4 linked regions of the Arabidopsis thaliana genome follow. The protein of the gene in region 3 interacts with the protein of the main gene of each other region in a pairwise test. Each region holds a gene or a part of one and is shown on either strand. Other genes may lie near its edges. The genes, in order: FEI1, SMO1-2, AT5G40640 and GB2.

Region 1 (8,718 bases), on a different chromosome or scaffold from region 3:
TTTAAAAGCATATAATACGTGTTTGAATGTGACTCGCGTTGATTACGAAAACTTGAGGAATGTGAAAACGCTTCGGCTCTTCATAGCTCATTGTTGGGCTGATAGTCCCAAGAAAAAGAACATTTAACTTTCCCTTGTTCATTTTCAAAACAAAGCATTCATTAACACCGTTTTACATGATATTTACCTCTTAGATGGCCAATAAATTAAATAATGTTAGGTTATATTAGGCGTTTTGTGTAGTTTAATTTAATTTATACACTTGTTTTGGCATCTATAGTGTTTGAACTAACGACTAACTAGTAACATGAGCAAAGGCGATCAGCCTCTGGCTCTTCATGACATGATACTCTGTTATAAGGAGATAGAAAACCCCTTATGTTAACCAACATGAAGTTGCTCTATGTAATCATACAAATGATTCCATTTCCACTTTTGTCCGTCTCTCAAATGTTCTTATTCATCTCGGAGTCAAGCTTTGCCCTAAATCCTCGAACCTTAATTGAAACAATGTCCTTTAGTTTCTCCACAAGGCCAGGTCTTTGGCTTTGCTTCCTTACAGTTTCAATCAGAAGCCGATATTCCGATAGCGTAGCCTCTGGTAAAGGTTCCAAGAACTCACACTTAGACAAGATCTCCGGAGGAGGAACACCTGTGACCAGGTTTGTGTCCAGTTTTGTTCTGTCTTTCTTTGTTTTTTCGGGTTCTGTAACCAGAGGACCATCAAGAGCTGAAGGAGATGCACCAGGAATTACTTCCCGTGTGAATGGTAACGATCTTGCAGGTTGCAAGCAGAATTCTATCCACTGGTTGATTAATGGAGATGGGCCTCGGACTCGTCCTCCTCTTTGTTCTGCTTCTTTACCAGAGTCAGAAACAGCCGGGATCGCCTTGAAAAACAATTATGCTTCACGGTTTAGTGTCCAGATATGTTATATCGTCTTTAGAACAAGAAGCATTCAAGATATCAGATGAAGGGTTAAGTGATTTTACGACGGTAACTTACCCATAGATCAGCCCATAAGGTGGCACCGGATTTGGGAACAATCACTGTAACATTAGACATACGTTTTGCGACAGGGATAACATCGCTGCTCCAACCAACAGTGACCCAGACATCTCCGACATTGAAAGCTTTTAAATAGTTGTTACTATCAAATAGTCTAATCTATAAGCAAAAGGGGAAACAAGATCAGCCACCATTGTCATTTTTTCTCAATAACTATAGAGGTTGAGTGAAACACGTCAGCCTAAACTCATCTGTTCTCTTTAGGGTATGGAGAGATAGTAAAGAGGTAATAACCTGTTTCATGAGTGATGCCAGATTTTTCTCCACTGCTAATCTTCCGCCAGGAACTTGTGAATCCAGGTCTGTCGTATTGTATGATGCTCTCATGTATTTGAGAACAGCACCAACAACCTCTCTAGGAGAATTCACCATTGCGATCCTTCCTGCAAGCTCGGGTCGCCACAGATCAGCCCAGTCCTAAATTCAGCAAAATGTTCAGTGATATTCACTTCTTTTAAATAGGAAAACACTAAGACAGCATTTAGCAACAACAAAGTATACCAACCTCTATCGGTGCCAATTTATAATTCTGAAATTTGCTCTTTTTGTATGCTATAACCATGGTGCCCCAGCGGTATGGCACAGCCCACGTTTCACCGTCAGGAGCTTTTTCTCCCGCATAGTTCCTGCGGAGATAAATCTGAGACTTTCTAAGTCATGAAATGAACCCTATGAACATTCCCAAGCTAGCAGAGTACGAAAACAAAACACATGAAAGATTATGCCTATTAAAATCTCTCAAGCTAGTGTTCTTTCAAAAAGACTCATATTCATATTGTTAAACCACTGATTTAAATTCTCACCTTCCATTTATCACTCAAGCCTTTATACCAGTCTTGATCTTCTATCCCTTTCATTGGCTCAATTAGCTTTTCCTTAATAGCAAAACTAAGCCAAGAATCACCAATGCTGATCATATCAGCTGCTGCAGTTGAAGCAGCCCCCTTTTTTCCATTCTTACTTGGTTTCGATAGATCGAAAAAGATCTCTTCAAGATTTCCTCGAAACTGAGTCTTTAACCTCACTCTCTTCCCTTGTGAGCTCATAAACTCCTAAATTCCATTCACAGAATCCAACAACATACATTTTCAACTATAAGCTTAAGATTCAAAATAGAAATGGAAACACAGACAAGTGAAACTAAAACCTTGATCCATGATGGTGGCACTGAGCCACGCAAGGCAACGAGTTTTAGCGGGACAGTAAGAGAATACACTTTAGACTTGTACGCTTCGAAATCAGCTTCCAGTTTTTCTTCATCTTCAACTTCATTTAGATTCTCTTCACCTGCAAAAACATTCCATTGGAACACAAAATTCAAATCCATCGAAATCCCAAGAGTGACGAAAATGTTCAATTTCACGCACCAGCTACAGTTTCTGTGTTGATTTCATTCTCTGTAACGACAATCGGCGGTGGTAGTATTCGAGCGGAGGCCGGAGAACAGACGCGGAGGCTACTTAAACCGATGAACAACACGGTCGAGGCAGAGAGACCAACGATCCTCTCATGAAACCGTTCGTCTCGAGAAACTCGTGCAATGGTGATTCCCCTTCCTCCGTCGCGTCGGTTTCCTCCGCAGTAGAAGCTCGCCGGCGGTTTCACGGAAATAATCGCCGCCGTAGCCATCGATATAACGCGATGGTGAAACAACGGACAACAATGGCTTCTAATCTCAAACCGGTTCAATCAAACCGCTGGGCTTATACCGTAATGGGCCTTAAAAATGGGCCCAATGATTTCGACCATTGTAGAGATTAGGCTTAGCTAAGGTCTAGCTGGCAATAATAATTGGGTTTTATGAAGAAAGCGTCGGTTGACACGTGTGGGAGGTCAAGATCGGCACGTGCGAGACCCACTTCGTTTCTTCTCATTGGTCGTATGCTTTGGAGAAGAAAGCATCTTCTTCTTCTTCACACACTCTCTCTCTCTCACTCTAGTTTTCTCTCTCTTCACTCTTACCATAAATCACACAAACAAAATAAAAAGTCGATTCCTTTTTTGTTTTTTTTATCTTCTCCTTAAGTTATATTTTTTTTTTTTTGCTTTACAGCTCAAATTAGTCATCTTCTTCTTCCTCTGTCTCAATTCTTCCTCCTCTCGGATCCATTTTTAGAGGTTCTTATAATTCTTACTAATTCTGTTTGCTTTTAAAGCTATAACCTTTGATATTGTTGGAAAGAGTGGGGTTTTGGGTCTTTTGCTGAATCGTTTTTTGGATTTGTTATATTGTTCGAATCTTCAGTTGTTATTGTGTTATAGGATTGGATGGTATCTGGGAATTTCGTAATCTATGTTAAGCTAGAGCTGTTTTTGAGCTCTTTTGTTGATGATGATTTTGAGATTGTTGGCCGAATTTAGCTCTCGTTTTCTGATTTTAGCAATTGGAAAGTGTGTATTGGTTCTTGTGAGGCAATTTCACTGTTTTGAGTACTCAAAATGTAGATGAGAGCATGCATAAGTTGTGTGGAGACTGAGCTTAATGTGTAGTGTAATTGACAATTAGTTTTGTGGGCTTTCCTTTGTTTTTCAGGAGTCTAGTTTCTTACTTGAACATAGACATGGAATCAACTAATAACTGACAACCAAGAGGCTGTTCTTTTCAAATGATTGGTAGTAGTTATATTATGCTTGGACAGTGCCATGATGGGCATCTGTGAGATGAAAAGCTGCTGCTCATGGCTTCTTTTGATCTCGTTGCTTTGCTCACTATCTAATGAAAGTCAAGCGATTAGTCCTGACGGTACGTCGATATGAATCAACTATTACTATTCATAGCGTCCTGGACCTTTTATTGAGCTTTAATCCTTTATTGCTTGTTTCCATTCTTCAGGCGAGGCGCTTCTGAGCTTCAGAAATGCAGTTACTAGATCAGATAGTTTCATCCATCAGTGGAGACCGGAAGATCCAGATCCATGTAACTGGAACGGAGTGACATGTGATGCAAAAACGAAAAGAGTTATAACCTTGTAAGTTTTCAAACTTGTCAAGGTTTACTGGTTTTCTCTTCAGTATTTGTGCTCCCTAATACTCTTGTTTCGCAGGAATCTTACTTATCACAAAATAATGGGACCTTTACCTCCTGATATTGGAAAGTTGGACCATTTAAGGCTTTTGTATGTGCTCTCTAGCCTTATTCATTTTTATTGCTTAAGAGAGTACTTCGATTCTGATCATCTGTGTGTCATTGCAGAATGCTTCACAACAATGCTTTATATGGAGCAATACCTACAGCATTGGGAAATTGCACAGCATTGGAGGAAATGTAAGCGCTTTTCCAGGATTTTATACTGATTCCACATGGTTTCTGAGAGACCAATTCCAGTTGCTTATGGTCATCAAAATTGTCCAACTGGTTTTGCAGTCACTTGCAGAGTAACTACTTCACTGGACCAATCCCAGCTGAAATGGGAGACCTGCCTGGCCTTCAAAAGCTGTATGTTTTTTTCTCTTCCCTATACGTACTTGCAAGTGCATCCTTCTTTTAGTGTATGCAATATCTATTTGTTTTTTGTTTTCATTTACTTCTATCACCATCTAGGATCATGGTAACATATGGTTGACTGCATAATGTCTTCTCATGCACATTATATTCAGAACTAGTTATACCTAAACTCTTGGTGAGCAATTTGAAAAGCATGATAATGTATTGTTTACTTCAGATTCACATATTGATTGTTCTCTTTTCTCTACTAAAACTGACTTTTGACTTTTTTATTTTATTTTCAAGGGACATGTCAAGCAACACTCTCAGTGGACCTATCCCTGCTTCGCTTGGGCAGTTAAAAAAGCTTAGTAACTTGTGAGCACCTTAATCTCTAACTTCCGCTGTAATTTATCATATTGCAGTCCTGTGAATCTTTCTGTTTCGTTTGTCTTATGAAGCAATGTCTCGAACAACTTCCTGGTGGGGCAAATACCTTCAGACGGAGTGCTCTCTGGATTTTCTAAGAACTCGTAAGACAATAAACACCCTTTTCTTCTTGTAGGGATAGAAAAATAAAGCCTCTAAAGTTACATTTTTTTTTTTTTTTTGTCAATCCTCTAAAGTTACATTTATACAGCTGATCTTTCATATTTCGCTTATATTCGAGATGATTTTTTGAACCACATAACTATTTAGCTAGATTGTATCAGTGCGACTGAAATTATATGATTCTCAAACTGATGCGTTACTACTACAGCTTCATTGGAAATCTTAACTTGTGTGGAAAGCATGTTGATGTCGTGTGCCAAGATGATAGTGGAAACCCTTCATCACATTCTCAATCAGGTAAAAGCAATTATGAATTTCTTGTGATATACAGGTTTTGTTGTGGCTCTCTATCAGTAAAGTTATATTTATTTGGTGTCTTATACTTTATAGGTCAAAATCAAAAGAAAAACTCTGGTAAGCTGCTGATTAGCGCATCAGCAACTGTAGGTGCGCTACTCCTAGTTGCACTCATGTGTTTCTGGGGATGCTTTCTATATAAAAAGCTCGGTAAAGTCGAGATTAAAAGCCTTGCAAAGGATGTTGGTGGAGGTGAGCCGTATTGATTTTTTTTGTACAGATATTATCTCGTTAAATATTGGGAAATTTCATATTTTTCTCTATCTCCTAAATCTTCATTGTGACTTTTTCAATTCAGGTGCGTCTATTGTGATGTTCCACGGAGATTTACCTTACTCTTCCAAAGATATCATTAAGAAGCTGGAAATGTTGAATGAAGAGCACATAATTGGATGTGGAGGCTTTGGAACGGTGTATAAGCTGGCCATGGATGATGGCAAAGTCTTTGCATTGAAGAGAATTCTAAAGTTAAACGAAGGGTTTGATCGGTTTTTTGAGCGGGAGCTTGAGATTCTTGGGAGCATCAAACACCGATACCTCGTGAATCTACGTGGATATTGCAATTCACCAACATCAAAGCTACTGTTATATGATTACTTGCCCGGTGGTAGCCTTGATGAAGCACTTCATGGTATGATCAATCTGCTCTTTATGGCTCTCTTCCATATTATGAATGATTCACTGAGAAGTTTGGTTCTTGAATTAGTAGAGAGAGGCGAGCAATTGGACTGGGATTCACGCGTAAATATCATCATAGGAGCTGCGAAAGGGTTATCATATTTGCATCATGATTGTTCTCCTCGGATTATACATCGTGATATAAAGTCGAGCAACATTTTGCTTGATGGCAATCTCGAGGCACGGGTATCGGATTTTGGTCTAGCCAAGTTGTTGGAAGACGAAGAATCTCATATCACAACCATTGTTGCAGGCACATTTGGGTACCTAGCTCCAGGTACATATGCCTTTTAAAAGTCTTTACTTACATAAAGATTTGATCTTTCAAATGCTGAGACTTTTCCATTTGACAGAATATATGCAAAGTGGTAGAGCAACTGAGAAAACCGATGTATACAGTTTTGGGGTTTTGGTTCTTGAAGTCTTGAGTGGGAAAAGACCAACCGATGCTTCCTTCATCGAGAAAGGCCTTAACGTTGTTGGTTGGGTATGCAAATAAGATTCTTTTTCAATACTGATATTTTGTTACGACAAACTTGACTAAAAAAGCTTTTGACTCATGATTTACAGCTAAAGTTCTTAATCAGCGAAAAACGGCCAAGGGATATTGTTGATCCAAACTGTGAAGGAATGCAGATGGAGAGCCTTGACGCTCTACTATCAATAGCAACACAGTGTGTGTCTCCGAGTCCAGAAGAGCGTCCAACGATGCATCGGGTTGTCCAGTTACTTGAATCAGAGGTCATGACTCCTTGTCCCAGCGAATTTTATGATTCCAGCTCTGATTAATTGCATAAACCCACCAGTCGAAACCTCGAGAAAAAAAGTAAACCGAGTCCGGTTTCCCGGGGAAAGCCTTCAAATGCTATTCGATTTCCGTTTTTGCTCCCCGAGAAAACCTGCAAATACCAACGAAGAGCCATAATTTTCCAGTTAATGGAACAGAGTCTTTGTGTTGTGTTGCCATTTACTTTGCCCCTCCAGTTTTACCAGATTCGAGCCATTCATTTTCAGCCCTTTCTCTTTTTGTTCTGATTTTTGGTATAAAAACTTTTATTTGAACATGAAATTGAATTGTATAGTTGTGACCTTTGTAGAAAAACTACTCTCTGCCTTTATGTTCTTTTGAAATAATCCATGTTCCTTCATCTTCTTCTTCTTCAGTCTCAATCAATCCTGATTCAGTTACAGAGAAGCTGATATCGATTCAAAACCAACATCGATTCAAAACCGGTTCATTAGCAGGGAAACAAATGTTAATGATAAGGGAAGTAGTTAGAGAATGTACAAGAAAGTTTCAGCTATCAATTTCTTTATGTTCCAAATCCAACATCAAATTTGTCGTTTGATGCAGCATTGAGTTGATCTCATCCATTTTTGGGTGTGATAATAGATCATCTCCAACAATAAACTCATGACCAACCCCATCAATCTCGATGGAGCTGCAACCAGGAAACTTTCTGATTCCCAAATCTTTCATTTTCCTTCTCACATTAGTTACATCTTCCCATCTATTAGCAGATGCATATACACTTGCAAGCAGAGTATGAGCACTGGAATCACTTACTTCCACTTTCTCAAGCTTTTCCGCTACCCGTTCTGCTATTTTTACATTCCCATAGTTCCTAGCAGCACTAAGTAAAGAACAGTATACAGGAACTAGAGTTTCATCGCTTTCACCACGCATCTTATCTATCAATTCCTCTGCTTCATCTAACAAACCAGCTCTGCATAGTAGGTCAATCAGACAGCTGCAGTGCTCTGATTTAGGCTGGACGTTATGTCTTTCGGTCATCGAATGGAAAATCTTACGGCCTTCTGCTACAAATCCACCATGATTGCAAGCTGTTAAAACCGCGACAAATGTTATAGCGTCTAGTCTAACACCAACATTTTCCATTTCGTAATACAAGTCCAGCGCTCTTCCTGACATCCCGTTCATCGCAAGACCGTAGATAAGTGATGTCCACGAAGCTGTGTCTCTCTCCTTTATTTCATAGAAAACCTCTAGAGCTGTCTCAATGCATCCACATTTTGCATACATGTCTACAAGAGCAGTACCAACTACTTTATCTACTGTAACCCTGTTCTCATTTATGTACCCATGAATCCATTTTCCTTGCTCTAAAGCTCCCGTTTGCGCGCAACCTGTCAAGAGAGAGACTAGCACGAAATTATCCGGCCTAATTCCCGCAGTTTGCATGCACCTGAACAGTTCCAATGCCTCATCAAACCGGTTAAACTGAACATACCCATTCATCATAGCTGTCCACAAAACAACATCCTTTACAGGACTTCTCTCAAACAAAACTCTAGCCTCATCAATCCTACCAGTACTAACATACCCAAAAACCATACTAGTCCAACACTTAACATTCTTGTCTCTCATCGAATCGAAAACCGCTCTAGCCTTATCGAGACACCCACATTTACAGAACATATCCACCAACGCATTCCCAATCCTAACACTCATTTCAAATTCTGTAACAACAAACCTATAAATCCTTTCACCAATTTCAAGATTCTTCAAAGCCGAACAAGCCGAAAGAGTGCTCACAATTGTACCTTCATCAAACTTCAAATTGCTCTCCTGACTCATCCGCTTAAACACACCAATGGCATCCTCAAACCTCCCATT
Region 2 (6,653 bases), on a different chromosome or scaffold from region 3:
ACAATTATAATTCAAAAGTCAATTTTCTGTTATTTTCTCGAAGTGTGTATGAATTTTTTCCTCATAAATCAATAATTTCGTAGAACCATATCCATCTATCGTCACAAATATATACACACTTATAATACAATTTCATAAAGTACAAGGTTCCCTTATTTGATGAGAGTGGAGCAAAACACAAACTAAAAAATATTATGTGCCACGCTCAAAAGTGTATACTTTGGTCTATCTCATTGCACACATACCAATATGTTCCATATCCTTCTTGTTCTCCTCATGATTTTCCCAATCAACTGAGCGATGCACGATCCGATCAAATTCGACGACGGAATTAGGCTCGTTCTCGCTGGAGAAATCCCGGCGAACGAACCTCCGGTTTCAGGAGCTTTCTTTCTCATGTAGAAGCTTCTACTGCCTAATTCTCCAATTATTTCTCTTTTCTCCAAACCTGAAAATTACATTACATCAAACTTAAGTATATTTTGATTGTCTTAACCATTCAATTATGTGACAAAAAAGAGAGGTAAATCGTTAGGTTTAGTCACCATTTTCTTTATTATAGGTTATATAACTCAAGAATTATGTGATGTTTCTATGTTCACATGAGCCATGAGTAGTTTTGATATTTTCCATAACCGTTGGTGATTAAAGCAAAACTAGATATCATGGAGTATAGATATTTAATCCAATCAATCTACGTCAAACTGAAAACAACTGATTCAAAATTTCAACCAAAACATCATTTGTGCTTTTATTTTATTAATTCTATATGTAAAAACAATTATTATTTTTGGATAATTAATATATCTTACACTGGATGCTGAAATGTGACTGATGCAATTCAAAGGCAGAATCTCGATCGAGTTTTGGAGTTCTTCCTTCTTTACAGTACTTGTCAACGACAATTTTGATCGTTTCTTCGACGTTGCAACTCAGTTTAACCATTGCTCTTACCGGTCCAGGACTTCCTTCTACTGCTACACTGATTATTACTTTTGGTGCTTCTTTTGTATTACCCTGTTTCGAAAAATAATAACAAAATGAGGTTCTCTGATTTTAGAAATTTAATAGAAATGTCAATTTTTGGTATATTTATCACGATCTGATAACATGAACTGGAGAACTGACTCTAGAATTTGCAGCTGAACTTAAAACTCTTTGTTCAGCCTATATAATGGTTATATTGAAATATTTTATAATATTAGGCTTAAACTGTAAACTTTTAAATCTTTGTGGACTAAATGATGAATTCTCTTACAGAGTTGAAATCATGAATTTGTTGATTTGAAAAAATAGAAGCAAACGACTCTGACCTCTTGATTGATCGGAGATGAAGACGAGGGCGAATATAAGTTCAACAACGACGGAGACGAAGCGAAAACCTCAGAGCGAATCCTAGGCAAGTAAACGATCGGTTTTGTTTCTTCTTCCATCGGTAAACCTCTCATCGGCGATGGTCGCCGCAAGTGATTACTCTGTCCGTCGCGGTGGCGATTAAGACTCGGCTCTGAGAAGCTTCTCTCGAAAACCTTATTACTCGATTTAGAGCGATTATTCTTGTCGGAAACATATCTGAAAGCTGTTCGTCTTGTTCTGGAGCTCCGACCTCCATTTCCTACAGGATTCGAAACTTTTCTCCGGTGAATCGAATCAGACATTTCGTGAATGATGATCTTTGCTTAAGGAGGAGGAAGAAGAAAAAACAATTGAGAGGTTTTGGTGGTTTGCTTGGCAAAGAAGCGAATTAAGAGTTATTCTCTGCTTTTGCTTTGCTTTACTCTTTTATTATCTTCTTTTCTTTCATTTGTATTTTTCAAATGTTTTTCCAAATCAAATTGTTTTTTTTTTTCTTTTTAACATAAGTGTGGATTTTAACATTTAAATTCAAACCGACCAAAAAAAATACACGATTAAAGGTAGTAATATAGACGTGGTTCTTGTAATATAGTATTTATATTTCCTGTCGACGATCGATTCTTTTATAGTATGATATCTTGTGCTGATTCTTACGTACTTGTGTTTATTATAGTAAAATAGAAATGCGTTGAATTGTAGCACTGTATTAGATTAAAACTTCTATGTAATTATGGAGCTAAAATGTTTTCTGGTTAGCATACGGAGTATTTTTTAAAAAATCTATCCTTATTATGGATAAAATGTGTTGGAAAAAGGCAATAATATACTTGTACAAATGAATATAAATTTCTTGATGCATTGTTTTAGAAGATTACTTGGGAGACTCACAATCCTATAAAGTGTAAAGGAAACAAAACTATTGGATTTGTAGAAAAGTTGACACGTTAAACAAGAAAACGAGAAACCCAAACAAGTTTCGTAAAACACAAAAAATCTAAGGTGATAGTGAGAAGCACATAAACAAATGAAAAAAAACACATAAACAATTAGAGAGGAGGGAGACTCAACTAGTATCATCAATTCATTAAATTTTACGAAAGTGCTGAGTAATGGAAGTAATATAAAAAATTTATAACCAAAAACAAGAATTCATCAACGTCAAGAAAAAACAACATAAAATAAAAAGGAGAATTTGTGTGGCTGAGATTGGTCCGAGGTTTGTTTCCACTGTTAAAAGAAAGAACTTTTGGGCTTGATTTAAAGTCATTAATGGTGTGGTCGACTTCTCTTATGCCATACGCACTCATGTTCACGCGTAACGCACTTGTTTTCCACCAAGTATTTAACAACGATCGTTTGTGACCCTTTTTTATGTATACTTGAAACTTAAAAAATATGTATTATTACATTTAAATATCATTTATTGTCATGACGAAAAAATTGTAAGACTTTATAATTTCAAATGTAACGTCACTTTTCGTGATGATGTAATACCATTCTATTACTTAAATACAATTGGCCAACAGCCTCAATTTATTTCAACCTTTTGCTATCTCTATAGTATAATGGTGTCATAAAAATTCATAGACACATTCCACAAAACTCGTGTATGTATATCCGTGTCTTTATATATATGTGTATATCCAAGTGTATAATAAAGTTTTTTTTCTTAAAAAAAAAAACAGAAATTTGTATGCACCATTTAAACAATTAAAGAAAGAAAATTGGGCCTACTCCAAACACAACGCTACTGTGGAGTACATTTTATCCATTTTAATGGCCCAATAATTTATAATGGGCTTTTAGTATGGGCCATTTTGTCCCTCTTTTTTATGTTGTAAGCGAGATCTTGAGACAATGTTAGTAATTTTGGTTTAATCCGGTTCAACAAGTAAACATCACACTTGTAAACTAAACCGATAATGCCACGTCACTACTCCAAATATTCGCCAAATCATAACAGACAAAATCCAACAACAACGACGACACTCTCCTCTCTCACTCTCTCTCTCAATCTCAATCTCAATCTCACGTCAACGACCGTCGCCGTCACCGGAAGGAAACGATTTCATCATCTTCTACAATGATCCCATACGCAACAATCGAAGAAGCGTCGATCGCATTATCTCGAAACCTCACATGGCTAGAGACTCTCTGGTTCGATTACTCCGCCACCAAATCCGATTACTACCTCTACTGCCACAACATTCTCTTCCTCTTCCTCATCTTCTCTCTCGTTCCTCTCCCTCTCGTTTTCATCGAATCATCTCAATCCACCTCAGATTTGTTCAATCGCTACAAAATCCAACCAAAAGTGAAAAACTCATTCTCATCGATGTTCAAATGTTACAAAGACGTCATGAAGATGTTCATCCTCGTCGTTGGTCCATTACAACTCGTTTCTTATCCTTCGATTCAGGTTAATTTCTGGAATTTGGCTTCTAATTTCGGAATTGATGCGATTTAGGTTGATTTTGTTTTTCGTGTGTTGAAACAGATGATTGAGATACGAAGTGGATTACCATTACCATCATGTATGGAGATTGTAGCACAGTTAGTGGTTTACTTCTTGGTAGAGGATTATACTAATTACTGGGTTCATAGATTCTTTCATTGTAAATGGGGTTATGAGAAGTTTCATCATATTCATCATGAGTATACAGCTCCTATTGGTTATGCTGCTCCTTATGCTCATTGGGCTGAGGTTTTGCTTCTTGGCATTCCCACGTTTCTTGGACCTGCTATTGCTCCTGGTCATATGATTACCTTTTGGTTGTGGATTGCTTTACGACAGATTGAGGCTATCGAAACTCATAGCGGGTAAGGAAAAGGAATGGTTTTGAATTGTTTATCTTAGTTTATAATGCGTTGGGGCTATGTGGGAAGTTTCAATAGTGCGTTTACCTTTTGTTGGTGGGGCTAAGGTTAGGCACTAGCCTTTTCTGATGCTTTATTGACTGTAATTAGCTCTAGGTGATTGTTTAGAGACTGCTTAGTTAATCTTTTGTGGTCAACATGAGCAAGAAATCATTCTTGAGATGATAAGCATCTTGTCTTGTTCAAATAAGTATTTGGACAATATGATGATTGCTTGGTGCATGAAACTTGTTTCTCTGGAGATAAATTGACTTGTTTTTTTTATTTTTCGTTTTCTTTTGAAGATATGATTTCCCATGGTCTCTGACAAAGTACATTCCATTTTATGGTGGAGCTGAGTATCATGATTACCATCACTACGTTGGAGGACAAAGCCAGAGTAACTTTGCTTCAGTTTTTACTTACTGCGATTACATCTATGGAACTGATAAAGTGAGTAATGAAACTTCAGTTCTTTTCCGGTTAGCGTCTACTAATTCTGGATAAAAATTTGACAATGTGGGTATATGTTCTTATTTTCATCAGGGTTACCGATTCCAGAAGAAGCTTCTTCAGCAGGTAAATAAATACTCCATAAACTGAGACTAGCTTATCTCTCGGCATACCGCATACCCATAAACGCAGCCATCAAATTGCAAGCTCACATAACAGTATATGTGGTATCTAGTATCATCATATTGATGATATGTTTCTTGATGCTATATCTTATGAGTTGCAGATGAAGGAGAAGTCCAAGAAGAGCAACAAGCTGGTTAATGGAGGAGAGAAATTCGATTAGTAAATCTAAAACCCCTCGCGAGGTTGACTTACCGTAAGTTTCAAGCATTCTACAAATGTAGTCAATACTTAAAAATGAAAGGGTAGTTAGTTTTCTCTGTTCTGGTCTTCCCTGTGTCACATGAAAATGCTCGTGACGAGTTCCTATCTGAAGTTTTTTTTAAAACTCTTTTGGAATTGGTGTGTGTCAATAAATCCTTTTTGTATATTTTAAATGTTACATAGTGCATTCATTGGCTTGTAACAAGTTCCTACTCTGATAGTATTAAGTTAAGTTAAGTATAACTTAAGTATCTAACGTTAACAACAAGGCCCGTCTAGCTCAGTTGGTAGAGCGCAAGGCTCTTAACCTTGTGGTCGTGGGTTCGAGCCCCACGGTGGGCGTTTCTTTTCCTTTTTGTTGCATTTGAGTGGCATGATTTAAAAGGAAAATCCTTACCATAACGATAGTTGCATTGATGATGGGGGTCGATTTCACTCTCGGAAAACAAATCTAATCAAAGAAGGCTAAAACAAGCGAAACACATGCATTTACTAAAGCTGTCTCACCAAACTTGAAAACAACAGTTTTAAGTACAGTAGTAGGTACAATAACTTATTTAGTTGTTACCAACTAATTTATGACTTTAAAATCGAAACACTCTCTTCCTTCCTGTGTTTTTTCAACTAAACCTAACAACACACAGTTTTTCTTTAACACACATTTCCTTGTTCTCGTTGTCTTAGAATTACCATGGACACAGTGAATATGATAATAACTTCAAGAATGGGGTTGTAGCTGTGTGAGGCTATATTTTTTTTTTTGGTTTAATGAGGCTATATTGTAAACTACTTCAATAAGTTTTTACTCTTAAACCAATTCACGAAAGAGTTTTAATGAACTTGATATTAAGTTTTTGTCCACACATATTTTGTGTATCAACGAGTTTTTCTTTTCTAGACGTATGGATCATCACTCTTCGTTTCGTAGATTGTTAAACAATGAAGAAAGGCTTTAGCTATTCAAAATCATTTGGTGAAAAGAAATTACTCCTGATGATAGGTCTATAAATGAATTTGCAACAAATATTTCCGAACATACAATTTTAGATATCTTCTAACCTAAATAACTACTAAAAAATAACAACCTTAGTAACTTTGAATTTTCGTTTTATATTTTTAAAAAACGAAAATGTGACCCGTTCGTATCAAATATAGACGTAAAGAGATAAGATATGTTTTGTTGTGTTCTACTAAAAAGTCAAAAAACAAATACATTGAGGACCCAATTTGGCGGACTTCTCAAAGGGTAAATAATATACCAAAAATTGGAAAAATCAAAAAAAAAGAAAAATCACCGAAATTAATTAAGTAGGTACCATGTTTCGACATTTGTGCATCTTTATATAGTTTTTCAAGCATCCTCATCATACATTTTCCAAAACACATTCAAGACACGTTTTATGAGTCTATAACTCCAAAACAATGCTATAACATAAACCACACAAATTAATCCAGACACAACACTCTCACAATATGATCCCTTATCCAACCGTAGAAGATGCGTCCGTGGCGTTAGGACGAAACCTTACTTGGTTCGAGACGGTTTGGTTCGATTACTCAGCCACCAAATCCAATTTCCATGTATATTGCCACACCATTCT
Region 3 (8,185 bases):
AATCTTTTATATTCAACATTTGCCTCTAAAGATGTCCCTTGAGGCTTACTTTATGATATAGAAGGCCGGTTTGGTTATCCTTTATGGTATCAACCCACGTGGGTCGAAAAAGGCATAAAGATTACATTTTTTGTTATTATATTGATTTGAAATCTTTATAAATTTCAAACAACAACGATTTTCTTTTGCTTAAATCATTGCAATGTACAAAACTAAAATCATTCACATGTAAGGGAAATCTATTTGAATTATACGACGTGACATGTTAATTGTGTTGTTGCTAGACTTTAAACTTGGATATGTGTTATTAATCGATTCATCATCAGCTTCAGGATAAAGATAAATAGATAATATAGTTACCCACAAAAACATGGAACTTGTATATATGTCTTTTGCATTCTTTAGGTTATAAAAACATGGAATTGTGGAGCGTAATGGGCTTGAGATTCAACCTCACGAAAGCAATAAAGAGAAATAGAAATCTAAAAGTCTGCCGGTCAACAGACAAATATGACGAGAGATACACTACGCATGTCAATATATTTGATGCGATTTCCTAGAATCAAATATTATTATTCTATAATTCTTCTGTTAATTATGTATAAAAACATACCGTAAAATCTAAAACTTATGACGGGATAAAAACATACTCTAAAGATGTCTAAAGAGTACTTTAATTTCTTCAAGTTAATGTTTTCTCGTACAATATAGAAAAAGGGATTCGAAATAGATACGAATCACGCGATAGGTCACAAAAAATATTAAGCAGAGTACAAGAGTTACTAATGCAAGCACGTTATGCATGACTAACTATTGTATGTAAAAGAATAAAATCTGCTTATATGTAAAAGAGATTATTTGGTACTTGTTTAGTTGTTTAAGTCGTCGTGAGCATATAGCATCGTTTAGTCTATTATAATTTAATTGTAACTGCGGAAAAATTAAAAGTAAAAGAGATATAAATAAAGTTATCAAAACTTATCAAGTAGTTAGTGGGTTCTTTATTTGTCAACACACGAAAAATCAAATTTGCTTGGAATGGTTGATATTAGATTAAAATCTCTAAAAATACTCAAAAGTAATTCCAAATATGAAACATAGAACACTAACGTCCGATGTCAACCACTTAACACTAAAACAAAGTTGATTAAATAAGCTGAGGTCTCACGTTAAGTAATTTAACAATGGCATAGGAAATAAAGAGTACACAACATAAGCTATTTCTCATTGCACAAATAACTTTGAATGTATTCTATTAAATATCGTTTGGAACACAAGGTTGATTCTCGGACAATTTCCAAAAAATTTGCTCATGTGATCTTGCTCTTTTCTCGCTATACCAGTTCATGGTAATGTTTCTATTAGATAGTGACTAGTCGGCGTAGTAGTTTGAAGTTTCAACAAATTATAAGTTTAGACATAGGCCCAATCTTCTCTCGCTACCAGTTCATGGTAATGTTTCAACAAATTATATATAAGTTTGATTTGAAGTTTGTTGTCTTCAAGTTTTTGTTCCGTACTGATTGGGCCAATGTCTAAAGTACACTAGGCCGTCCAAAAGAGTCTGAAATTTTATTATAACTTAGACACATTTCATATGGGCTTCGTATCTTGGAGAATCATGAGTTGATCGTGATGCCGTCGAAATTTGAAGACTTTGGCCGGCTTTCTCCATCAATTTGGTCGGACTTTTATATTTGAGAGTTAAGTTTACTTTGTCTTTATAATTTTTTTTTTCGTAAACTATATCATTTCTGCTTGTCTATGTAATTTATGACAAGTTGATTTCAACAAGAAACAAAAGTTAAAAGTTGAAAACTATGATATTATATATGTAAATTTTTTCAGTTCTTTTGTTTTTATTTAATTAATTTTCATTTCTCAATTTCAAATTCTTCATATGTATTTTTCCTTTTTAATGACTTTAATAATATATTTATTCCCATTTTAAAAGCGTGTCTCATATGTTGTTTATTACATTTAAAATAAACAATTGTTAATAATCGTTTTTCTTATTATATATATTTTAATTAGATTATAAGACAAATAATCTTATCCTATAACCTTCAAAAAATCAAATTATATTATATTATTCAAAAAAAAAAAAATCTTATACAAAAACCTTCAAGTCAATCGAGTTTTATATGTTGGACTTATAAGACAAATAATTTTATAACAACATTCATGATACCATGTTAAGTTTTATATGCTTCTACTTAAAACTAATTGATTATAAGTAAAATTAACAAATCATTTATACACTTGTATTATTATAGGTCCATCACACTCCTCATGTATGATTTCAAACAAAGTGATTTTTGATGAGCTGGAGGGGTTAAACAATTTTAATTAAAAAATATATAAAAAATACTAAACTTTGTTTGACCAGTCGTACCAAGTTGAACCATGGTCTACCAGTTAATCCAATTTCAAATTATGTTTTTGTTTCAAGAAAAAATAATACTCCATCTGTTCTTTTTTGTTTGATTGTTTATAAAAAAAAATTGTTTCTAAAAGATTGATTTTTTAAGTTTTCCATGTAATATTTATTGGTTAGTATTGGTGAATTGTAATTTTCAAGAAAAATAGTTAATTATCATTGGTTTAGAGGTATAGAAAACTGTAAAACACTAAAAATAATATATTTATAATCAATATTTAATATATTTTTTTAATATGTATGTTTTTTCTAAACAATCAAACAAAAAAGAACAAATGGAGTAATTCAGAAACCATAGAAGAGGGAGCACCTGTCTTCGCTTTTGATTGCTTTTATATTTCTTTTTCCCTTCTTTACTTCCGATTAGGTTAGAATGCATAGAGCCATAGATTATTAGTCTTATCACTTATATTATTTATTTTTGTATATAATATTTACTTTTATAAATAATTATAAATCTTATACTATTAAATTTTATAAACAGATTTATTGTAATATTTTCCAATGATACCATTTAATATATAGTGATGTTTCATATAAAGTTCATTTTAAAAATGAAAATTATGTGTTTAGCAAAGGTGGCAATAGCTTTTAGAAAATAAAGTAGAAAATAATGGGTTTGCCAACTGCCACATAAAAAAAAAACCTCTCTTTTAATATATACTTAAATGTAATAAACAATAAGATAATGATAATGTGATTCTTTAACTGTCGCTTAGTGTCGACGTTAGAAAAAAAGAAACACTAAAAATGTTCGGTTCATGTCGTTTTCTCCAATTCCTTTATCTCGTGCTTCTCTTCTCAATACGAGGAGGAGGATGTGTTGGCCCATGCGTTAAACAGCAGCACAAAAACCGATCACCAAGAAACACACCCGATTTATTTAGCAGCACACGAAATTGAAATAATATGTAAATTAAAAAATATACTCTTAATTTATTCAGTTTTAAATGTATTTTTTGGTTTAGGGTTTATAGACGGTTTCTTAACCGTCAAATCTAATGTGTGTGTGACATATTCTTCTCTCTCTCTCTCTCGAATCTTTCGTGTTGTTTGCTGTTCAAAATTGAAATTTTAAATATTAAAAAAAAAGAAGAAAACTTGTTCTGCTTCTTGTCGTGTCCGTCACAGTTTGAATTTCTCTCTCTCTTTCTCTCTTCCTCATAAAAATCTCTGCTTTACCTTTTCTTTTCAAAGGGTTTCATTTTGATTCTAGGGTTGTTCTAAATGCGACATTTTGACTGATGGGTCTTTGTTGAATTTGAAGAGAGCAAAAGAGAAAGAGATTGTTCTAATGGAGCCTCCAACGGGAATCTTGGCTTCTCTGTGGCAATTTATACTCTTCATTCCTTATTTCACTGGTTTACTGCTTCTCGGTGTCATTAAAGGTAACAAATTTCAGACTTGAGTTCGATGATGTTGACATGAGATTGGCTTACTTGATTTGTGTAGGCCTCCATTAGGGTTGTTTCATTTATTCATCAATTTGCTTCAACAGTTACTGAAATTAGCATTTCTAACCAATTTAGCGATCTTCAATGCCATAAAGTTCCCTTTTTTTAATTGAAGTAAACACCTAATCCGTGAACGTTGTTCTGTTTTAGAGATCTTGCTCACTAGTTTAGTGGCTTAGGATTTATCTAAGAGTGATTAATTGGTACATAACATTCATCAAGTGCTTCCGAAGTTAGTGAATTTGGTATGAAATTAGTTTCTTCAGTACTATAAAGTTCTCTTTTTTTAATTGAAGCAAGCCCCAAAGGCCAAATCCGTGAGTTCTTTTACTAGTCTTGTTGACAAGTTTTGTGGGAATGAATTGTTGTGAACGTTTCTTTACTTCTTTTTTGTTTGCTTAGGTATCGTTTTATGCCCGCTTATATGCCTTACTGTGGCTATTGGAAACTCTGCAATCATCTTAGGCCTTTTACCAGTACACGCGATTTGGACTCTATATTCGATAGCGAGGTACTTACTTCTTTCTGAAACAATCTCTGCCCTCTATAATAATACCATTGTTATCTCTTTCGATGTTGTTGAAGTGTTTTTGTTTGAAATCAGTGCTAAACAGTTAGGACCAATCCTGAAGATCTTTCTGTGTTTATGCGTTCCTCTTGGTGTCATTCTCTGGCTTGTGGTTAGTATCTTAGGAAGTGTTCTTGGAGGAGCTATTTATGGATTTCTTTCTCCAATATTTGCTACTTTCGATGCTGTTGGTGAAGGGAAGTCTAATCCGTTTTTCCATTGCTTTTATGTAAGTCTCTTTTTCTCCATGTCTCGTTCTTTATGTTATTGAAGATTAGACCTCAACACCTACATTGTCTGCTTTCACAATTTAGGATGGAACTTGGAGCACTGTTCAAGGCAGTTTCACCGTTGTTTGTGATTTTAAAGATGTTTGCTTTCACTCCTACTTTTCTTTTATGGATGATCTTCGAACATCTACTGCGAACCGTCACTATTATGAAATAAGGTCTTCAGAAAATTTCAGTAAATTGTGTGTATTGATTACTTAACAGTGCTTTCTTACAGTTTTCACTTATATTTCTCAGGTTACTTCAAATTCCAGGTGCTGTGATTGTTGCGGTTCTCGGAATTCTTGTTGATTTCCCAGTGATTTCACTCTTAGCATTGTGTAAAAGCCCGTACATGTTGTTCAAAGGGTGGCACCGTTTGTTTCATGATCTCATTGGACGTGAAGGTCCTTTCTTGGAAACAATGTGTGTCCCAATCGCTGGCCTTGTGATCTTACTCTGGCCTTTAGCTGTTGTTGGAGCAGTTTTAGGATCCGTGGTCTCTAGTGTCTTCCTTGGTGCTTATGGCGGTGTAGTCTCATATCAGGTTATTAAACAATGACTTTTTTTTTTGAGGAAAATGTGAATGCTGATGATACTGAATTGGTTTCTCTTGTCATAACACAGGAGTCATCGTTCTTCTTCGGTCTCTGCTATGTTGTTGCTTCTGTTTCTATTTACGATGAGTATAGCAACGATGTTCTTGATATGCCTGAAGGTTCTTGCTTTCCCAGGTTTGTCTCCATTGGCTTATCTAGCAATCTTTACCTCTCTCTCTTTCTTTTCATTCTAAAACAGTGGTTTTATGGTTTTGTAACAGGCCAATATATCGAAGAAACGAAGAGGGCGCTAGTACGGCATTTTCTGGTGGTCTTTCAAGACCGAACTCCTTCAAGACAACTCCATCAAGAGGAGGATCAAACAAAGGCCCAATGATTGACCTGAAACCGCTTGATGTACTCACTAGTCACACTCTTCTTTTGGTTATCTTTGTATTTAAACCTGAAGCCTATTCTTTTGATCTTTGCAGCTTTTGGAGGCTCTATTTGTGGAATGTAGGCGGCACGGAGAGATTATGGTAACGAAAGGGATTATAAATTCAAAAGACATTGAAGAAGCTAAATCTAGCAAAGGCAGTCAAGTGATCAGCTTTGGCTTACCTGCTTATTCTCTTCTTCACGAGCTTTTACGCTCTATCAAATCTAACTCCACCGGTTTATTACTCGGTATGTTTCAACAGTTTTCTGTCAATTTTCATAACCGCATTATCTAGTAACTATTTGAACATCATCAAGAAACAAACAAAACCGTTTCTGTGTTTTTGTTTAGGTGACGGTGTAACGGAGATAACTACCAGAAACCGCCCAAAAGATGCGTTTTTTGATTGGTTTCTGAATCCGTTTTTGATCCTTAAAGACCAGATCGAAGCTGCAAACCTATCCGAGGAAGAAGAAGAGTATCTTGGTAAATTGGTATTACTCTTTGGAGATTCAGAGAGACTTAAAAGCTCCATTGTTGAATCTGAATCTCCTCCTCTAACTGAACTCAGAAAAGCCGAACTTGATGCCTTTGCTCGCAGGTAAAAAAGGCAAAAAAAAAAACACACACAATCTTGTTACGGCTTTCTACTTCGGATTCTAAGATGTGTTTTTGGTTTTGGTTAGGCTTCAAGGATTAACCAAATCAGTATCAAGATATCCAACATTCAGAAGACATTTTGTGGAACTAGTCAAGAAACTATCAAATGATCTAGACAATAAACATAACCGTTTTGAAGGCGGTTCGAGATCAGTTCCACGTCCCGGGAAAACGGTGTCTCGGATTTTCAGCCAAAAATCGTTCAAGAAAAAGACAAGTAGCAATGGGTCAGATCAAGATTCACCAAACAGAGGGTTAAGAGACATTGATATTGTGTAAGTAAATGTTATGCGACCAGAATTAGACCGAAACTTCGTCTGCTTTTAGCTCTGTAATGATAAATTTATACAGATTCCAAGTGAATATGAAACTGTTTCATTTATCTAACAAATGTTTTACATTCAGCTTTTGCTTGATGATGTGTTGTTTCTCAGAAACAGCAGAACCGTTTCTTCTGCAATAGAAATAGCAAGCTTTTAGTTTTTCTTTCACTTTAGACCTCATTTGATCTAAAACATAACAAACATAGGCTGATGTTTTCGTTAGTCATAAAATCTTGAGCAATTGGGATTAGAAATGTTACCGTAGGTTCATCTTGAGATTTGTTATTGTCACGGCGTTGTGAGGCGGCACGACCACTTGCGTTTGTCTTTTTGTCGTCTCGAGCTTTAGCGAATATAACCGTAAATCCTTCGGCTGATGCTGGATCGTTCACGTCCCATTCTCCAAATTTTGGTAATGGTCGATCTTGTTGTTGTCGTTGTTGATTATTCTGAAAGTTTCCAATCACAAAAATGTTTGATTTCTATTATAATCCAACGAAAACACACATGAAAATGCTATTTTTTGTATCAAATTTGTGAAACAAATGAGAAAGAAATGAGAAAGATCTTACCGATGCCATTCAAAGATTGTGTAAAAGATGCAAACAGAACATGAGATGATCTTTCTTCAAACAACAAGAAAACTTGTTTGTCTTCTCTTTTAGTTTTTGTTTTCTTAAAAGAATTTGATTACGTTTAAAGAATTAGAATTTGAGAACAGATTAGCGTTTTCTGAAAGTTTAAATATAGGTTAACGTTTTAATTATTGTTGAAACTTGAAAACAGAAAACACCAATCTTTTGTAGCGAAACGGAACGCTTTTTCTCGTACCGTCTTTTGTTTTCGAGTGAACTTCATCGTATCAAAACTCGCCACGTGATCTACACACTTCTCGAGGCGAACACGCGCATTTCAGAACTTATCCATTAATCTCTGTGATTAACCTATAAGCCGGTATTTATAAACGGTCACGATTTTCCAAGTTTTTTAATCAACGGTCGTTATTACGTAGACGAAGCTAAGCCTCACATCTACAAATACGTATACATACATTTTTACATAATAATTAATTAATAATTACAGGTTATTAACAAATTAATCATTTTTAATAGACTATTAAAAAAACAATTTCATTTCATTTGCTCTCTTCTCCGAGAAAATGGCGTTTGGTTTGATCGGAAGAGTTGTTGGAACCAAATCATCACGATTATCCACGGCGGCGCGATTGATTCCGGCGCGATGGACATCAACAGGATCAGAAGCACAATCGAAAGCTTCAACCGGCGGCGGAGGAGCGAGTCTGAAGACGTTTCAGATCTATCGATGGAATCCAGATAATCCTGGAAAGCCAGAGCTTCAAGATTACAAAATCGATCTCAAGGATTGTGGTCCAATGGTTCTAGATGCTTTGATTAAGATTAAGAACGAGATGGATCCATCGCTCACTTTCCGTCGCTCTTGCCGTGAAGGTATTTGTGGTTCGTGTGCTATGA
Region 4 (6,622 bases), on a different chromosome or scaffold from region 3:
CTTGAGAATGATGAGGTTCACAAGGAAGAAGCAAACCATCTTCAAGAGAGCTGCTCTTTGTTCCCCAGACACTGTTAGATGCCGCTCAAACTTGGAAAGATACGAGAGCGCAGAAGGGATTACAATGTACATACTAACAAATATGAAGACGTTGGGCAGGAACTGAAAAATCAGAGATCCAATCCAGCCAGAAGTTTGCACCCAAGTGAGCCAATACTGAGCACTATCCAATGCTTCAGCATTGAAGATTCTCCCGGCACTTACCAATGCACTGATCAAGGCCAATGGGGAGCTGAAAAACACAAGAATCAACAGTAGAATAGTATTAACAATCACTCTTCGCACAATAAGAGCAACTTTTGTCAATCCCAGATGATTCCAATAAATATCAGTAGCCAAGGGTGCTCTGTCCACTTTCCACTGGTTTCTCTGTAATCGCAGCTCTGTGACAGAGAAGAACTTTCCAGTACGCCTTGATCTCTCGTTTCGAAAATCCTGAACAGCCTTATTAGCTGTGTACACATCCTTAAACATCACAAAAGCAACCCCAGCGCCTTGTGCTCGTCCTTCTTTATAAGCTGCTAACTGAGACTCCAAATCAGCTCTCAGTTCTTGCAGCTTCCTCAGTTTTTCATCATCTGTAAATCCAAACCTCTCTGTAATCTGAGACCACAAAACCTTCACCCTAACCCACAAAGAACACACACAGAACACTAGTCCGTTATCTCCAACATTCTCATACTCATCCGGTAGAAGCCTAGAGTCCATCTTGGCAACTAACCAAGTAATCTCATCTCGAACACGAACCAACTCTGTAGCAAGATCATCCAAAGCACACAAATCCATGGGAACAATAAACTTATAAACTTTCCCAGGGTACTTCAGCCTAAAGCAATCTTCAAACTCAACTCTATCAGACCCTAAATTCTTAGGCAAACCCTGCACCATTATAGTAAACACAGCAGTAGAATTCGCGTTCGGGTCACTGATATTCCCATTCCCATCTCTAAACCTAGTAAACTTCAACCTAGCTTCAATAGCAGCGATTCCAAAATGCGAGATAACAACAACAATAACAACAAACACAAAATGCAGCCAAAGCAAAGCTGAACCTTTCTGAATATGCGTAATCATCGTTTTCGAAAGCTCATCACTCAACAAAGCAGTCCCAGCATATAAATTCAACGGAAGCATAACCGAAACAGCTAAAACAGCAATGGAGAAAAGAAGCACAAAGCTTCCACCTTCAATTAAAAGAAACTGAGCAGCATCAGCACCACAGTGACGAGCGATCTCGCGACACGTGGCTTTCCAAACGGCGAGGAGCTTAGAGAAGAGAGCAGAAGGACCAGGCATACGACGGTGGTCGCTGCGTAGCTTAACGAAGAGAAAGATGGAGACGCAGCATAAGAGACCAATGACCGAGATATTAAGCAGATACTGAATGTTGCCGTACCAAGCATCTGGGATTTCAGGTAAGTCGCCGGAAGATGGAGGAGGAGAGAATGAATTATCTATTGTCATTGATGAAATCGGTGGCATCGCAGCTGGTGAAAAATTGCGATTCATCGCGAATTTCTCAACCAAATTGAGAAACCCAAATCTTCGAAGTTTCTTCAGAGATTCAGGATTTATACAACAAGGTTTTGATCAGGAGAAATTTGGGGGCTTTAGGGTTAGACTTTGGGGGAAGTAGATCGACGAAGATGATGGCAAAAGTAGAAAGGTAAATAGAAAAGGAGGAACAAGGAATGCTATCGCGGTTTCGAATCTCTCAAAAGATTCTTCTCCTTAAATCATGAAATTTAATCCCATCTTTTTAAGATAAATACACCCAAAAAAAACGAATTAACACAACTAAAAAATATAAATAATTTGATAGAAGTATATCAAATTGGTAATTTACAGAGTTTTTATGAATAAAACGATAGTTCTTTAAACGATAATTACATATTCTCTAAATATTTCGTGATTAGTAGAATAAGAGAATATAATCAAATTCATAACTCTTGTATATTCATTTTAATCAAATTCTCCTTAAAGCATGAAATTAATCAAATAATTTGAAGGTAAAATACCCAAAAAAATACGAAATAACATAACTAAGATCGGTTTGAGTTTGGGATGAAATAACATCCCCTGTTCTCTAATGGATGGAACTCTGTTTCGAATTTGCTTCTCGAATTTGCCATTGTAGACTATAAGCATTTGTAAGGAACTCATCTCTAATGTAGGATTTGAGTTCTTCTTATCTTCCCACTAGAACATTCATCTTAAACACAGTTATGTAATTTCCATAAGAGATATGAAACAGAGCATACTACCGTGATAATCCGGACACAATTGATATTAGTAGCCTTGTATCAAGGTACGTGTGTATTCCCCATCATATAATAAAAGAAGCTTTTGCTAATGCAAATTTCTGGTAAGTTCACAGTTTTGATGTGCAAGTTCTTTTGTATCATCAATTTAGCGATTATGGACTGCGCCATGCTTCAGATGAATAGAAAAAAGAAACTTATGCTGGTCTCGAAATCCACTAACCAAGCCATTCAACATCAAAGAAAAAAGCCCACATTATAAAAAAATAAAAAAGCCCACTTTAAACTATCAAATGCCCAACAATGGATGATGCACTAGTCGAGTCAGAGTGGACGGAGCCAAAGGCAGAGATGGATTTTAAGCTTTAATTTGTTTCCCAGATATTTTTCATCTGGTCCCTCTGTTTTTAAATAATTAACTAAAACGACTATAATAATTAATAAATTATACTATAGAGTATTTTGTGTGGATTTTTATTTACTGTTGAAACTTAAGGATACAAAAGAAAAACAATTATTCAGATAATTCGTCATTAGATCCCTTTAATTTTAGTAATTAAGTAAAAAGATTATAAAAGATGAGAAGGAGAAGATAGCTTCTTCATCGAGAAACCTCGAAATCAAAAAGCACGTCGGTGACTTGTACTCTTCAATCTCTTCTTCCTCTCTTTCACATCTCCTTCTCTCGAACCCATCGACCTGCGCTAATTCATCATCGACCTTGCTCAAATTCATCAACCATGTCTTACGATTATCTCTTCAAGTACATAATCATCGGAGACACAGGTGAGAGACCGATCTTTCACCTTTCTTAATTCCCAATTGTTTTATTTTTCTGGGTTAAATCCATTTCGTGCCGATTTTCATGTGTTTTCGTTGTTGTTTTTTTTGTCGTTTCAGGTGTGGGAAAATCGTGTCTGCTTCTGCAATTTACTGATAAGAGGTTCCAACCAGTCCACGATCTCACCATTGGTGTTGAGTTCGGTGCTCGGATGGTCACCGTCGATGGACGCCCCATCAAACTCCAAATTTGGGACACCGTACGCTTCCTCTCTCTTCTCTTGGTCGTAATTAGGTCATCAGGGAACTAATCACGTTTTATCGATTAGGATTGTTTTTTTTTTCTCCCTAAGGCAGGATGTGATTAAGAAGATTAATTGTCATAATCAATTCAATTTCTTCGTTTTTATATAAACAATGCCTCATTAGAATTGCCAATACCAAAAATTATGTTTGAAAATCATGTCCAGAGACTCAAAGTGGGGTAAAATTTCAAAAAAGTTAATCATTGCACGGTTCTTGATTAAGTTTCATAGGCTTATTGTAATAGAAGCTGAGTTCACCAGTGCATTCCTTGTTGTGATTTCTTCTGGTCAATAGTTCTTCCATTAGATGATGTATGTGTTGGAGTTGTGCTTTCTGATTAAAGTTTCGTATGATATTTTTTAGGCTGGACAAGAATCTTTTAGATCCATCACCAGATCATACTACAGAGGAGCAGCCGGAGCTTTACTGGTTTATGACATCACCAGGTTAGTTTTTGCCTTGCGACAATATATATCAGCTCGAACTTCTGAATTCCCCAGCAAGGTTTTGGAAGTGATTGGTTCTGTATTTGTGATTTGATAAACCTAGACTGTTGGAAAGGTTTTGGAAATTGGGAAGTTACTTTTATCTGAACAAAATCCTTGGCTATAATATTGGCAATGCTTGTTTGGGAGGATGTTAAGTTAACCATCCATCTTAAATTCTTGCTAAAATAGATATTTTTCCTCCATTGTTTTGGAATTTTGAAAGTTATGAAGGACATGAAGAATTGCAAGAGTTTTATCATTGAGGTTTTTCATGCTTTGATCTTTCTGAAGCTCAAAATTCTTGGTTCTTTGGGTTGCAGGAGAGAGACGTTTAACCATCTGGCAAGCTGGTTGGAGGATGCTCGGCAACATGCAAATCCTAACATGAGTATTATGCTGATTGGGAACAAATGTGATCTTGCTCACAAGAGAGCTGTTAGCAAAGAGGAAGGTCAACAGTTTGCCAAAGAACATGGCCTGCTATTCTTAGAAGCATCTGCAAGAACTGCTCAAAACGTTGAGGAGGTGACATTTCTTCCTTGCAACTCTTTTTCCCCATCCTGTTATTTGGCTGTAATCACATGGAGACTTTTGTCTTCTTTTTCTGGATTCCAACAGGCCTTCATAGAGACTGCTGCCAAGATCCTCCAGAACATTCAGGATGGTGTCTTTGATGTATCCAACGAGGTAATTTCCTTGTTGAATCTGGCAATATACTTAGTCTTCTGGTGTTCTCTAATCCCTCGATTGTGTTACAATGTGATTCAATTCCCTTGGTCTCTCTAAATTTTGCAGTCATCAGGTATCAAGATTGGTTACGGGCGTACTCAAGGTGCAGCTGGAGGAAGAGATGGTACGATCTCTCAGGGAGGTGGCTGTTGTGGTTAAAAAATCCTCGAGAGAGGTGTCACATATCTGCTGTAATCTGGTGATTCAGAAACTACTATTGCTTCTATTTACCTCTGCAAATGGATACACCAGAATGTATAGTTTCTCTTTCTTTCTTTCTTTTTTTCTCTTTTTCCCAGATTGTCTTTTATCAAAAAACCAAACGGGTGCATTTAAGAGTGAACAGGCTGATCTTTATAAACCAAACAGGCGTTGGCTTATTTAAAACGTTGTCGCTTTGTATGAAGCTCTCAAGGTTAAGTAATTGAAATCAAATCAGAATAATATCCAGTCATCATCTAGGTGAAATTTCCTTATTCATCTAAACGAACTGGTTTTAAAATACCCAGATGGTTCACAGAGATCCCAATAAGCAAATAGAAGTAGAAAACGAAGAAGCCATGATACCATCTTTCTTCCTCTTGGTCCCTTTGCTTTAACGCCTATTAGGTAATGTCCCTTCCCTAAGCCGCAAGTTATTGTATGTTCGCGTCACTAACATCAGTCTCGGATCATCCTCTGGTATTTCGCGTTCCTATGATTACCACACCACAAAAACCATCAATAACTAATACCAAGAGAAAGAAAGTTTGTGGTCAAATAAGAAAAAGGTTTTTTATTACTTTCAAGCCCTTGTAGTAAGCTTCAACAGCAGCTAGTGTTGGTAGAATATTCCGAGCTAGCATCAGATCCCATATCATATTTGCAACTGTGTACCCTCCCGTCTGCCATAAAGAAAATGTTTTTTTTTTTTTAACTTTCACTAAGCCAACTCTTTATATCAGTAAGATATTTCCAAAGTTTTTAGGGGAAGTTCAAGATTTTTACCTTTTCACCAGCGGCTTTGAGTAACAGATTGCTTCCAGTTCTTGGGTCTAAGAAGAAATTGCGTTCGTTCATTTGGATCTGCATTTACAAACAAATTGTCATCAGGCTCTACTATTGGCCCGTGTTTTGTTTACTTCATAGATTCTTTTTTTCAGTACAGCTCGAGCCAATAAGCATTACCAGAGTGTCCTGAGCAATCTTCATTCCATTATCGGTGTATCCTGTCATAGCTCCTTCTATAAGCGTCTGTAAAAATAAAACAAATAAATTGACATCTTCAGCATATACATATCACCCAAAGATATGTTGAACCAAGTATGGGAAACAGGACAGAAGCATAATTCTCTTCGACTAATGCGTTAGTTGAGAATTTAGATTTATTTGTATATACATTTGCGGGGTTTGACAATTGAGAATCAACAACTATAAGACATATATAGTAAAGAAGACGTTCACTCTCAAAGCAAATATAGAAAACACCAGTTATGAGGTCAGATCATTGTGTTACCGTGTATAGTTCCATGGCAGGGATTTTGTCTGCGCTCATGTAATCTTGAAACAGTTTGAGACCATTCTCAAAGTCTTGCGAATGTAGATAGCACCTGCGTAGATATAAAATAAGATGCATATACGTTAATCATGTTTTGATTCTCAACGAGAGTTAATAGTGTAGTATACTAGTAACAAAAGTTAATTTCGTAGCTAAAGACTGCCTATGTTTTAACATCTAGATGCAAATTAACATCAAAGTGTGTGTTCTATTGTACCTCATGATTTGTAGCATGCAGTAAGTGTCAGTATCTTTTCCGTCTTTCTTAAGCATCTCAAGAAGAGCTTCCGTTGCCTGCCATGAGGAATTGCTGGTAAGATGCAAAAATAAACTCCGAAACTGGCTTTTCTTATCTTTATCTTTATTCCCACTAAGTTCAGGACATTTTGGAATCTAGATAGACAGATCATCTTACTTTTACATCCTTCAGATCAGCGAGAGCACTGAATGCTACGTGATAC

What was found.
Region 1: the proteins of AT5G40640 (region 3) and FEI1 interact in a protein complementation assay, tested with the Arabidopsis thaliana proteins (one large-scale study listed by BioGRID).
Region 2: the proteins of AT5G40640 (region 3) and SMO1-2 interact in a protein complementation assay, tested with the Arabidopsis thaliana proteins (one large-scale study listed by BioGRID).
Region 4: the proteins of AT5G40640 (region 3) and GB2 interact in a protein complementation assay, tested with the Arabidopsis thaliana proteins (one large-scale study listed by BioGRID).

What each region holds. Positions count from the first base shown.
Region 1 is NC_003070.9:11,246,648-11,255,365, forward strand, and holds FEI1 (Leucine-rich repeat protein kinase family protein), read left to right. Parts: upstream 1-2,970; 5' UTR 2,971-3,712; coding exon 3,713-3,812; intron 3,813-3,902; coding exon 3,903-4,038; intron 4,039-4,113; coding exon 4,114-4,185; intron 4,186-4,262; coding exon 4,263-4,334; intron 4,335-4,433; coding exon 4,434-4,505; intron 4,506-4,799; coding exon 4,800-4,871; intron 4,872-4,954; coding exon 4,955-5,026; intron 5,027-5,253; coding exon 5,254-5,342; intron 5,343-5,435; coding exon 5,436-5,594; intron 5,595-5,700; coding exon 5,701-6,033; intron 6,034-6,108; coding exon 6,109-6,357; intron 6,358-6,433; coding exon 6,434-6,567; intron 6,568-6,650; coding exon 6,651-6,869; 3' UTR 6,870-7,268; downstream 7,269-8,718. Other genes in the region: AT1G31410 (putrescine-binding periplasmic protein-like protein), read right to left, coding at 447-890, 1,007-1,168, 1,304-1,486, 1,575-1,709, 1,873-2,121, 2,217-2,356, 2,437-2,698; AT1G31430 (Pentatricopeptide repeat (PPR-like) superfamily protein), read right to left, coding at 7,378-8,718.
Region 2 is NC_003075.7:11,953,482-11,960,134, reverse strand, and holds SMO1-2 (sterol C4-methyl oxidase 1-2), read left to right. Parts: upstream 1-3,216; 5' UTR 3,217-3,439; coding exon 3,440-3,775; intron 3,776-3,853; coding exon 3,854-4,176; intron 4,177-4,517; coding exon 4,518-4,665; intron 4,666-4,758; coding exon 4,759-4,791; intron 4,792-4,951; coding exon 4,952-5,011; 3' UTR 5,012-5,295; downstream 5,296-6,653. Other genes in the region: AT4G22758 (PPR containing protein), read right to left, coding at 231-448, 813-1,017, 1,314-1,658; AT4G22755 (methylsterol monooxygenase 1-3), read left to right, coding at 6,526-6,653. UniProt on the Arabidopsis thaliana protein: Non-heme iron oxygenase involved in sterols biosynthesis by catalyzing the removal of the first methyl group at the C-4 position. 4,4-dimethyl-9-beta,19-cyclopropylsterols such as 24-methylenecycloartanol are the preferred substrates.
Region 3 is NC_003076.8:16,273,611-16,281,795, forward strand, and holds AT5G40640 (uncharacterized protein), read left to right. Parts: upstream 1-3,431; 5' UTR 3,432-3,734; coding exon 3,735-3,828; intron 3,829-4,296; coding exon 4,297-4,405; intron 4,406-4,498; coding exon 4,499-4,691; intron 4,692-4,776; coding exon 4,777-4,910; intron 4,911-4,989; coding exon 4,990-5,278; intron 5,279-5,358; coding exon 5,359-5,465; intron 5,466-5,551; coding exon 5,552-5,687; intron 5,688-5,761; coding exon 5,762-5,957; intron 5,958-6,060; coding exon 6,061-6,310; intron 6,311-6,395; coding exon 6,396-6,648; 3' UTR 6,649-6,799; downstream 6,800-8,185. Other genes in the region: AT5G40645 (RPM1-interacting protein 4 (RIN4) family protein), read right to left, coding at 6,800-6,823, 6,953-7,141, 7,265-7,273; SDH2-2 (succinate dehydrogenase 2-2), read left to right, coding at 7,852-8,185.
Region 4 is NC_003075.7:16,985,279-16,991,900, reverse strand, and holds GB2 (GTP-binding 2), read left to right. Parts: upstream 1-2,853; 5' UTR 2,854-3,061; coding exon 3,062-3,107; exon of another isoform or gene 3,108-3,221; coding exon 3,222-3,361; intron 3,362-3,770; coding exon 3,771-3,853; intron 3,854-4,215; coding exon 4,216-4,420; intron 4,421-4,513; coding exon 4,514-4,582; intron 4,583-4,690; coding exon 4,691-4,783; 3' UTR 4,784-5,061; downstream 5,062-6,622. Other genes in the region: AT4G35870 (early-responsive to dehydration stress protein (ERD4)), read right to left, coding at 1-1,569; AT4G35850 (Pentatricopeptide repeat (PPR) superfamily protein), read right to left, coding at 5,220-5,318, 5,407-5,508, 5,612-5,689, 5,792-5,857, 6,120-6,213, 6,379-6,455, 6,577-6,622. UniProt on the Arabidopsis thaliana protein: Intracellular vesicle trafficking and protein transport.